Macaca mulatta: one gene and its partner. The protein of the gene in region 1 binds, or shares a complex with, the protein of each later gene. Links are inferred from orthologs where the notes say so. Each region holds a gene or a part of one and is shown in the gene's direction. Other genes may lie near its edges.

Evidence for each region. The genes of interacting proteins can lie anywhere in the genome.
Region 2: the proteins of RAF1 (region 1) and RAP1A are in contact, whole or in part, in a crystal structure (PDB 3KUC), measured with the Homo sapiens proteins. The link is inferred for Macaca mulatta from reciprocal best matches to the Homo sapiens genes RAF1 and RAP1A. Residues at the interface, in NP_001341619.1 of Homo sapiens: Thr57, Arg59, Asn64, Lys65, Gln66, Arg67, Thr68, Val69, Val70, Lys84, Lys87, Val88, Arg89, Gly90; in NP_001010935.1 of Homo sapiens: Val21, Gln25, Ile27, Val29, Asp33, Pro34, Ile36, Glu37, Asp38, Ser39, Tyr40, Arg41.

The regions. Positions count from the first base shown.
Region 1 is NC_133407.1:151,425,435-151,429,087, reverse strand, and holds part of RAF1 (RAF proto-oncogene serine/threonine-protein kinase), read left to right. Parts: intron 1-928; coding exon 929-1,027; intron 1,028-2,776; coding exon 2,777-2,930; coding exon of another isoform or gene 2,931-2,949; intron 2,950-3,530; coding exon of another isoform or gene 3,531-3,590; intron 3,591-3,653. UniProt on the Homo sapiens protein: Serine/threonine-protein kinase that acts as a regulatory link between the membrane-associated Ras GTPases and the MAPK/ERK cascade, and this critical regulatory link functions as a switch determining cell fate decisions including proliferation, differentiation, apoptosis, survival and oncogenic transformation.
Region 2 is NC_133406.1:128,545,846-128,549,598, reverse strand, and holds the start of RAP1A (ras-related protein Rap-1A), read left to right. Parts: upstream 1-926; 5' UTR 927-953; coding exon 954-1,010; intron 1,011-3,753. UniProt on the Homo sapiens protein: Counteracts the mitogenic function of Ras, at least partly because it can interact with Ras GAPs and RAF in a competitive manner. Together with ITGB1BP1, regulates KRIT1 localization to microtubules and membranes.

The DNA.
Region 1 (3,653 bases):
AAAGTGGTGGTGTTACAGGTGTGAGCCACCGCACCTGGTGGCACAAGCTTCTGAGTCTAACAGACGTATGTCAGAATCTCACTATTGTCATTAACCATAACCACAACTGAGTTTTCGTTCATGCGTCTGAATAAAGGGGATATTACCTTCCTTGCATTGTTCTTATGAGGCTTGCTGACAAGTGCCCAGCTCATGGAAAGAAGGTGCCTAATTACTCACTTTTCTGTGATTTATTCCTCCTATTTTAGTCTTTTTATCTATTTTCAAGATGGAATGTTTCCAGAAAAGCTCTGTGTGACATAGTTTGTAAAATGTTCTACTGTAGTTTGAAAAACATTATTTTGATATAGCTAGACATAGGACCAGTATTTCCTAGAAATGCACACTGGGCCGGGCGTGGTGGCTCACGCCTGTAATCCCAGCACTTTGGGAGGCTGAGGCGGGTGAATCACCTGAGGTCAGGAGTTCGAGACCAGACTGGCCAACATGGTGAAACCCTGTCTCCACTAAAAGTACAAAAATTAGCTGGGCGTGGTGGTGTGTGCCTGTAATCCCAGCTACTTGGAAGGCTGAGGCAGGAGAACCCAGGAGGCGGAGGCTGCAGTAAGCCAAGATTGCTCCTCTGCACTCCAACCTGGGCAACAGAGCGAGACTCCATCTCAACAAAAAAAAAGAAAATAAAAAAGAAAAAGCACACTGGAGCCCGTATGTTTATTGGCAGGTCAGTATTATTCACATTCAATAATCATTCAAACCCAGTTATTTGGAAATTGTTCCCTTTATTCTAGGTAATGTAAAACAGTTGAGGAAAATGTGACTGGGAAAAGTTCAGTTTTAGTAGCTCTGAGTTTGCAAAAGCAAGGCACGCTGATTGTCTCTGTAAGATTACTGTAAGCCTAAAAACCAGTCTTTCCCTGCTTTTGTTTAGATTGTTTCCAAATTCCACTATTGGTGATAGTGGAGTCCCAGCACTACCTTCTTTGACTATGCGTCGTATGCGAGAGTCTGTTTCCAGGATGCCTGTTAGGTAATTTTTTTACCTATAGCTTTTCTTTTAGAAAGTTATTGGGGGGGGGAGGTGGGGTTGGAAGCTCAAAGACAAAAAATAAGAGTTTCTTCACATTCCCTCCTCTCTATGTGGAAATCCCTTGCTGCTTCTGTGGAATGTGATACTGGTGGTACAGCAAAATGTAGAAATTTCTCTTTATGGATCTGTAGATCTTATATTCTGGAAAGTGACTTTGACTATAGTTTCTTCTGTTATCGTAGCATATTCCTTAATATGTCATTACATTTTAAAGAGCTTGAGATTCTACTTTCCTCAGTATGTACTGAGTTCAACCTCAATGGAAAGGGTCCCAAAACTTGATACAGTGATTCAATAAAAATAAAACCCTTAACTTTGAAATGCATGTTATGGCCTTGCATTTGCTAAAACCATGTATTTAAATAGACTAGTGTCTTTAAAAAACATTTAGTTATATTTTCAGCATAAATATTGTTTCTAATGTGTCTCTGAGTTTGCATATAACTTGTCTTTACTCTGTTTTCCAGCTTTACAATCAGTTTTGTTCAGTTCACATATTGCTCAGTGTTACACACATGAATTTGAAACCTAAAGTAAAATCTACATCCAAAATATCTTACTTTAGGCCAGGCATGGTAGCTCACGCCTGTAATCCCAGCACTTTGGGAGACCGAGGTGGGCGGACCACTTGAGGTCAGGAGTTCCAGACTAGCCTGGCCAACCAACATGGTGAAACTCCATCTCTACTAAAAATAACAAAAAACTGGCTGGATGTGGTGATATGCGCCTCTTGGTCCAGCTACTTGGGAGGCTGAAGCAGGAGAATCTTGAACCTGGTAGGCAGTGAGCTGAGATGGCACTACTGCACTCCAGCCTGGGTGACAGAGCAAGACTCTGTCTCCAAAAAATACACACACACACACACACACACACACACACACATAATGTGTAATCAGATAATGTTTAATGTGAAACTACTATGGAAATTATTAAAGGCAGCATATGTCAGAATAAGGAATTTGCATATGTCTGGATATATATTTGTGTATGACTTTTATTTTTCTTGATAATTTGAAAAGCAGATCTGACCAAGAGTTTGTAGTTACCTCTGAAGATTAGAAGAAACCAGGCCTCTGAAGCCATAAACAGAATTATGTGGGAAGGCATTTTTTCAAGACAATAGAACAATTTCCCTTAGAAAAGCTGGCCTTTTATCCCTTTAATTCATACATGGATGTTAACTGAATCTGAACAAACCTCAAACTAATCTTTAGAACAAATAATGAAAACGTCTGGCCTTTTTGCAGACATGCTCAGCACGTCTACTTATCTGTTTAAAATCTTAAAGTTCTCAAATTTAGTCTCTAAATTAAACTGGGCACGTTTCAACTAGCTTAATAAGTGGTAGTGTGGTTGTCAAATGTTAATCTATTCTTTCCCGGAGAAGATGTGAAAATTTGGAGTATTCGGGTGGCGCTTTATTAAAAAAAAGAAAACTTACAATACATTCTCTTTTTCATTGAATTCCCAATACATATATTATTTCCTGTTCCAAATTTTGTATGCAAAAGCACCCAGACTTAAGATAATTTTTAGATGTCACATATTTGAAAGAATCAAACATTGTGTCAAAGGTTGTACAGGTAGAGTTTGCCCTTAAGCATCTTAATCAAGTAGGTAGTTGAAAGACTTCACCAGTATGAAAGCCTAAATGCCAATCATGGAATTTTCTTTCTCCTCCTTGCCTAGTTCTCAGCACAGGTATTCTACACCTCACGCCTTCACCTTTAACACCTCCAGTCCCTCATCTGAAGGTTCCCTTTCCCAGAGGCAGAGGTCGACGTCCACACCTAATGTCCACATGGTCAGCACCACCCTGCCTGTGGACAGCAGGATGATTGAGGTAATAGGGCCCCTTGGGGGTGGTAATGTCAGTCAATTAATGGGGTGAGGGTGATATTTATTTCAGAGAGTTTTGGGTTTCAAATCTGATCAAAGAATGTTGCAACACTTTCTCAGGTCTCTGGACTTTTACAGTTTATTTTATATCCATAATATCTTTAGACTGGCTGAATAGTCTGGTTGGTATATCATTCAAGTGGAGAACTAAAATTTCCTGAAAAATATGTTAACATTTGAACTCTTCCCATTATCAGATTTGAATAGGCTTTTAATGAACGAGTGCCTAAGATATTTAAAGAGGAGTTTAATTTTGGTGTGGGACAGAAAATAACAGTGATGGAGAACTACAGATTCTCTGGAAGACTTTTGTGATTTTATTTAGAAATAAAAGGGTGGAGTCCTAGGATTTAATAAGCAGGTATTTAGGGAGATGTCCAAGTGCCCAAAGCTAGTGTTTTTGAACTGCTTTTTCTTTTCTTGGCTTTTTGGTTATGTCCTATTGGTTTAATTTGCTTTCTGCTTCATCTTTAATAACAACTGAATACACTTAAATACTTCCTTTGTTCTTTATTCTTCTTTATTTCTCATTGCTTTGGACTAGAATAACAGCCTGAATGCTTCTCCCAGGGCGTGGTCCAGACGATTTTGTTTGAGGGGAAGAGTAGGTATTTTTCTTCATGCTTTTGCTTTCTTGTAATTAACAGGATTGCTGAAACTGTCAGAC
Region 2 (3,753 bases), on another chromosome or scaffold:
ATTTTATATGCTTAGCTTCCACTTCTCTGGCACACTTCTAAGCTCTGCTTGAGTTCTTTCTCCCTTCACCATAGTCTGAAAAGTGCCTCTAGGCAGAAAGCCAGGGCAGGTTAGGTCTCACTTCATTTCTTTTGCATCTCAGAAATCACAGTCCTACACTGCTTGTTATCCAATATCTAAAAAGAGTTTTATATTTTTTTGTTCACTGTTCTGGCTGTTATTGTGAGTTGAAAAGTCTGTTTCTAGTTATTCCACCATGGCCATTGAAAATTATTTCCTGTCTTTATACCTTTTAAGATAACCATGGAGATAAAAAATAAAGTTTATGTTCCTTTTATTTTCTCTGGCCATTTGGGCCTTATGTCGTGTATTGCTAATAACTGCCTATAGTGTTTAGCAATTTCATCTGATCTCTTGTTCACATCTTTAATTATTTTCAAGATGACACTTTAAATGGTTCAGCTATAATACAATAATGAACAAAATAGTGTAGAATTACTGTAGAATATTTTAAGCAAGTAAAATAGCCTGTACATTATATTAAAGCTCATGAGTGAATATTTTTTAAAAGTACATAAGTTGTTTAAATGATAGCTTTGCAAAGAATTAGGTTTATCATTGTAGTCATAAGATTATCAACTGTTGGATTTAATCATCTTGTTTTTAATCAAAGATTCTTAGAAGTAATATGAACATAATTGATGCCTAGTCAAAGATGATCTTCAGTGAATTAAAATGTCTGAAAGTAATCCTATAAACTTATGTTAAAATCTGTATGGATTTTTGCCATGTAGCTTCTGTTGTCCATTTGATAGTCTTACAAGGAAAAAACAAAACAAACTCCTATATTTGATGTAGCAGTTGTACGTTATTAGGCTGTTAGTATGTTTCTTAATCTTTGATTTTTTTGTTTGTTTGTTTTTCAGATCGTCAGTATTTAAACAGATCACATCATGCGTGAGTACAAGCTAGTGGTCCTTGGTTCAGGAGGCGTTGGGAAGTCTGCTCTGGTAAGTTAGCCACCTAACTGTAACTGATTAGTATAATACAAGAAGAATTTTGATATTTCCTTGCTTTCAGACTTCTAGACACCAAAGAGAAAAAGTGGCATTATTATATATCTGGTATCTGCCCCACAAAGGACGGGAAATCATTTAATAACCACAGATATACACTTTTATAATGTTGGCTCATTTATTCTTACATTTATCAATTATTTATTGACTGTCTTACATGGCAAGCACCAGTGTTTATGATTCAGAGAGGAGTAAGATTGTTCTCATTTTTAAGGAATTTACATTGTAGTGGGGGAAACTGATTATTACAGATTCTATTGGGATAATTCCTCACCTGCTTCCACTCTAGACTTACATGGAATGAAGGTCATTTTTTGTGTTCATGCTGTTTTTATTTAGTAAATAGTTACTGAGCTTCTACAATGTCAGATTCTAGGGTCACAGGAGTGAACAAAAACAGTCATAGTTTCTCATGGAGCTTGCATTGTAGTGGAGGAGATGTGATAAATACACAATTAAACAAAGAACTCCTTGGTTATACTTGTGAGAGAGATACTCTGAAAAAAAAATACGGATTAATTTAGAAGAAAGGCAGAGTGGATGTGGGAGACAAATTGGGAGTTAATACAGTATACCAGATCATTGTTTATGGAACCTTGGATTAAAACCATGGCAGTGAAGAAGAGAGAAGAGAAGTAGATGTTTGAGGATTGAGTAAGTGGTAGAACTGACGTAAGTTGGTGCTAGATTGATACGGGGACTAGGAGAGAAGGAGCTGTCAAGGATGGCTCCCAGGTTTCTAGTTTGAGCTACTATTATGGATGGATTAAAAAAAGAAGGGAAACAGTGGAGAATGAGCAGTGAGAGTCCAAATCAAAGAGTCAAGCCAGATTTTATGTTTGTGACATGTTGAAGTAATAAAAGAGAGAGACCGGTGATATGACTTTGGGTGCCATCAATATGGTGATGATATTTAATTTCATGAGAGTTACATTACTGTTAGGTGTGTAAATTAGTGCCTTTGTCGAGAATGTTTGAGAATATCTGTCATTTTTAATGGCATATAACTTTCAATTCAAAGATTCCTTTTCTAAAAATGTAGCCCACATATAAGTTCACATGTGCAAAATGGCGTGGTCAGGGAACATTGCAACATTCTTTACAGTGACCAAGTGACCAGAGTCTGGAAACAACCTAAATGTGTTCCATTAAGGGGCTAGTTAAGTAAATTTTAATACATTTTCAGAGTAGAATACAGCCATTAGAAAGAATGCAATAGCTCTATATATACCAATATGTAATGATATCCAAGATGTATTACAGAGAAAAAAGGTACTAAACAGTGTAGACTATAATTTGTGTTTTATATTAAAAAAAGTGTAGGCTGAGGGCAGATAGCTGTAAAATCATAGAGTATCTCTGCAAGGTTAAATAAGCTATGGGTAATATCAGTTACTTTCTTGGGAGTGGGACTGGATAGCTGGGAACAAGGGTGGTAGATAAGCTTAGTTCACTGCATAGCCTTTTATGCCTTTTGAATTTAGTGCTATGTCCATGAATCACCTTTTCAGAAATAATTTTGGAAAAAAATCCACAGGAGTGAAAGAGGTCTAGGGAGATACTAGAGAGAGAAGAGCAGAGCCCAGTACTGAGCTCTGAGTACCTCTCAACCTTTAGGAAGTGGGTAGGATTGGAGGATCTAGCATAGAAGGTGTCTTTACTTGATTGCTCAAAAGTCAAGTAAAAAAGAGGAAAGAGATGATCAGAGAGCATAGAGGTAGTGGGACATGGTAAAGAAAGCAGCTTTAGTCAGGTCATGTTGCCATAAGCATAGTGGGGTGGGTTGAAGAGCAAATGAGAGCTGAGGAAATGGAATATAGACATTTGAAGAAGCTTGATTATAAGAGGAGACAGAGAATGGGGGCAGAAGCTGGAGAGATATTGGGGTTAAGGGAGGTTTTTGTTTTTGTTTTAGAATTGGAGATAGTAAAGCATATTTGTATGCTGGGGCAATTCCTCTCCACTGGAGAGGAAAATGAGGATACAAGAGAGGAAAAGAGATGATCCAGTACAAAAACCTGAGGAATAAAATTATAATCTATGTGAATCAATGAATGAGATGTCCCTGAAAATTAAGACAGAGGATAAGTTTCAGAGGAGTAGTAAAACATTACTTTTAGTAAGAAAGAAATGAGAAGTGTTGGATTGTTTTGCATTTGTGCAAGTCTTATTAATGTCTGGTTTATAGAAGGCACATGGGCTCTTATGCCTGCTTCTGTATCCAGTCTCTTGGAATAGCAAATGTTCTACTTTGGAAGATTCCACTGTAAACTTATGAGAGAAGAAGAAGAGTACATCTTAGTATTGTTAGGAAGATAGTTTGGCCTTGGGGAGCCTCTGTCTTGGACCGTATTTTGAGAACCTCTGTTCTAGCCTAAAGCATATTAGGAAGCCATATTAGACTGCCTTTTTTTCTTTTTTCCGCCCAGGCGGGAGTGCAGTGGCGAGATCGCGGCTCACTGCAGGCTCCGCCTCCCGGGTTGACGCCATTCTCCTGCCTCAGCCTCCCGAGTAGCTGGGACTACAGGCTCTCACCACTGCGCCCAGCTAATTTTTTTTTTTTTTTTTTTTTTTTTTTGAGACAGAGTCTCGCTCTGTCGCCCAGGCTGGAGTGCAGTGGCCGGATCTCAGCTCACTGCAAGCTCCGCCTCCTGAATTTACGCCATTCTCCTGCCTC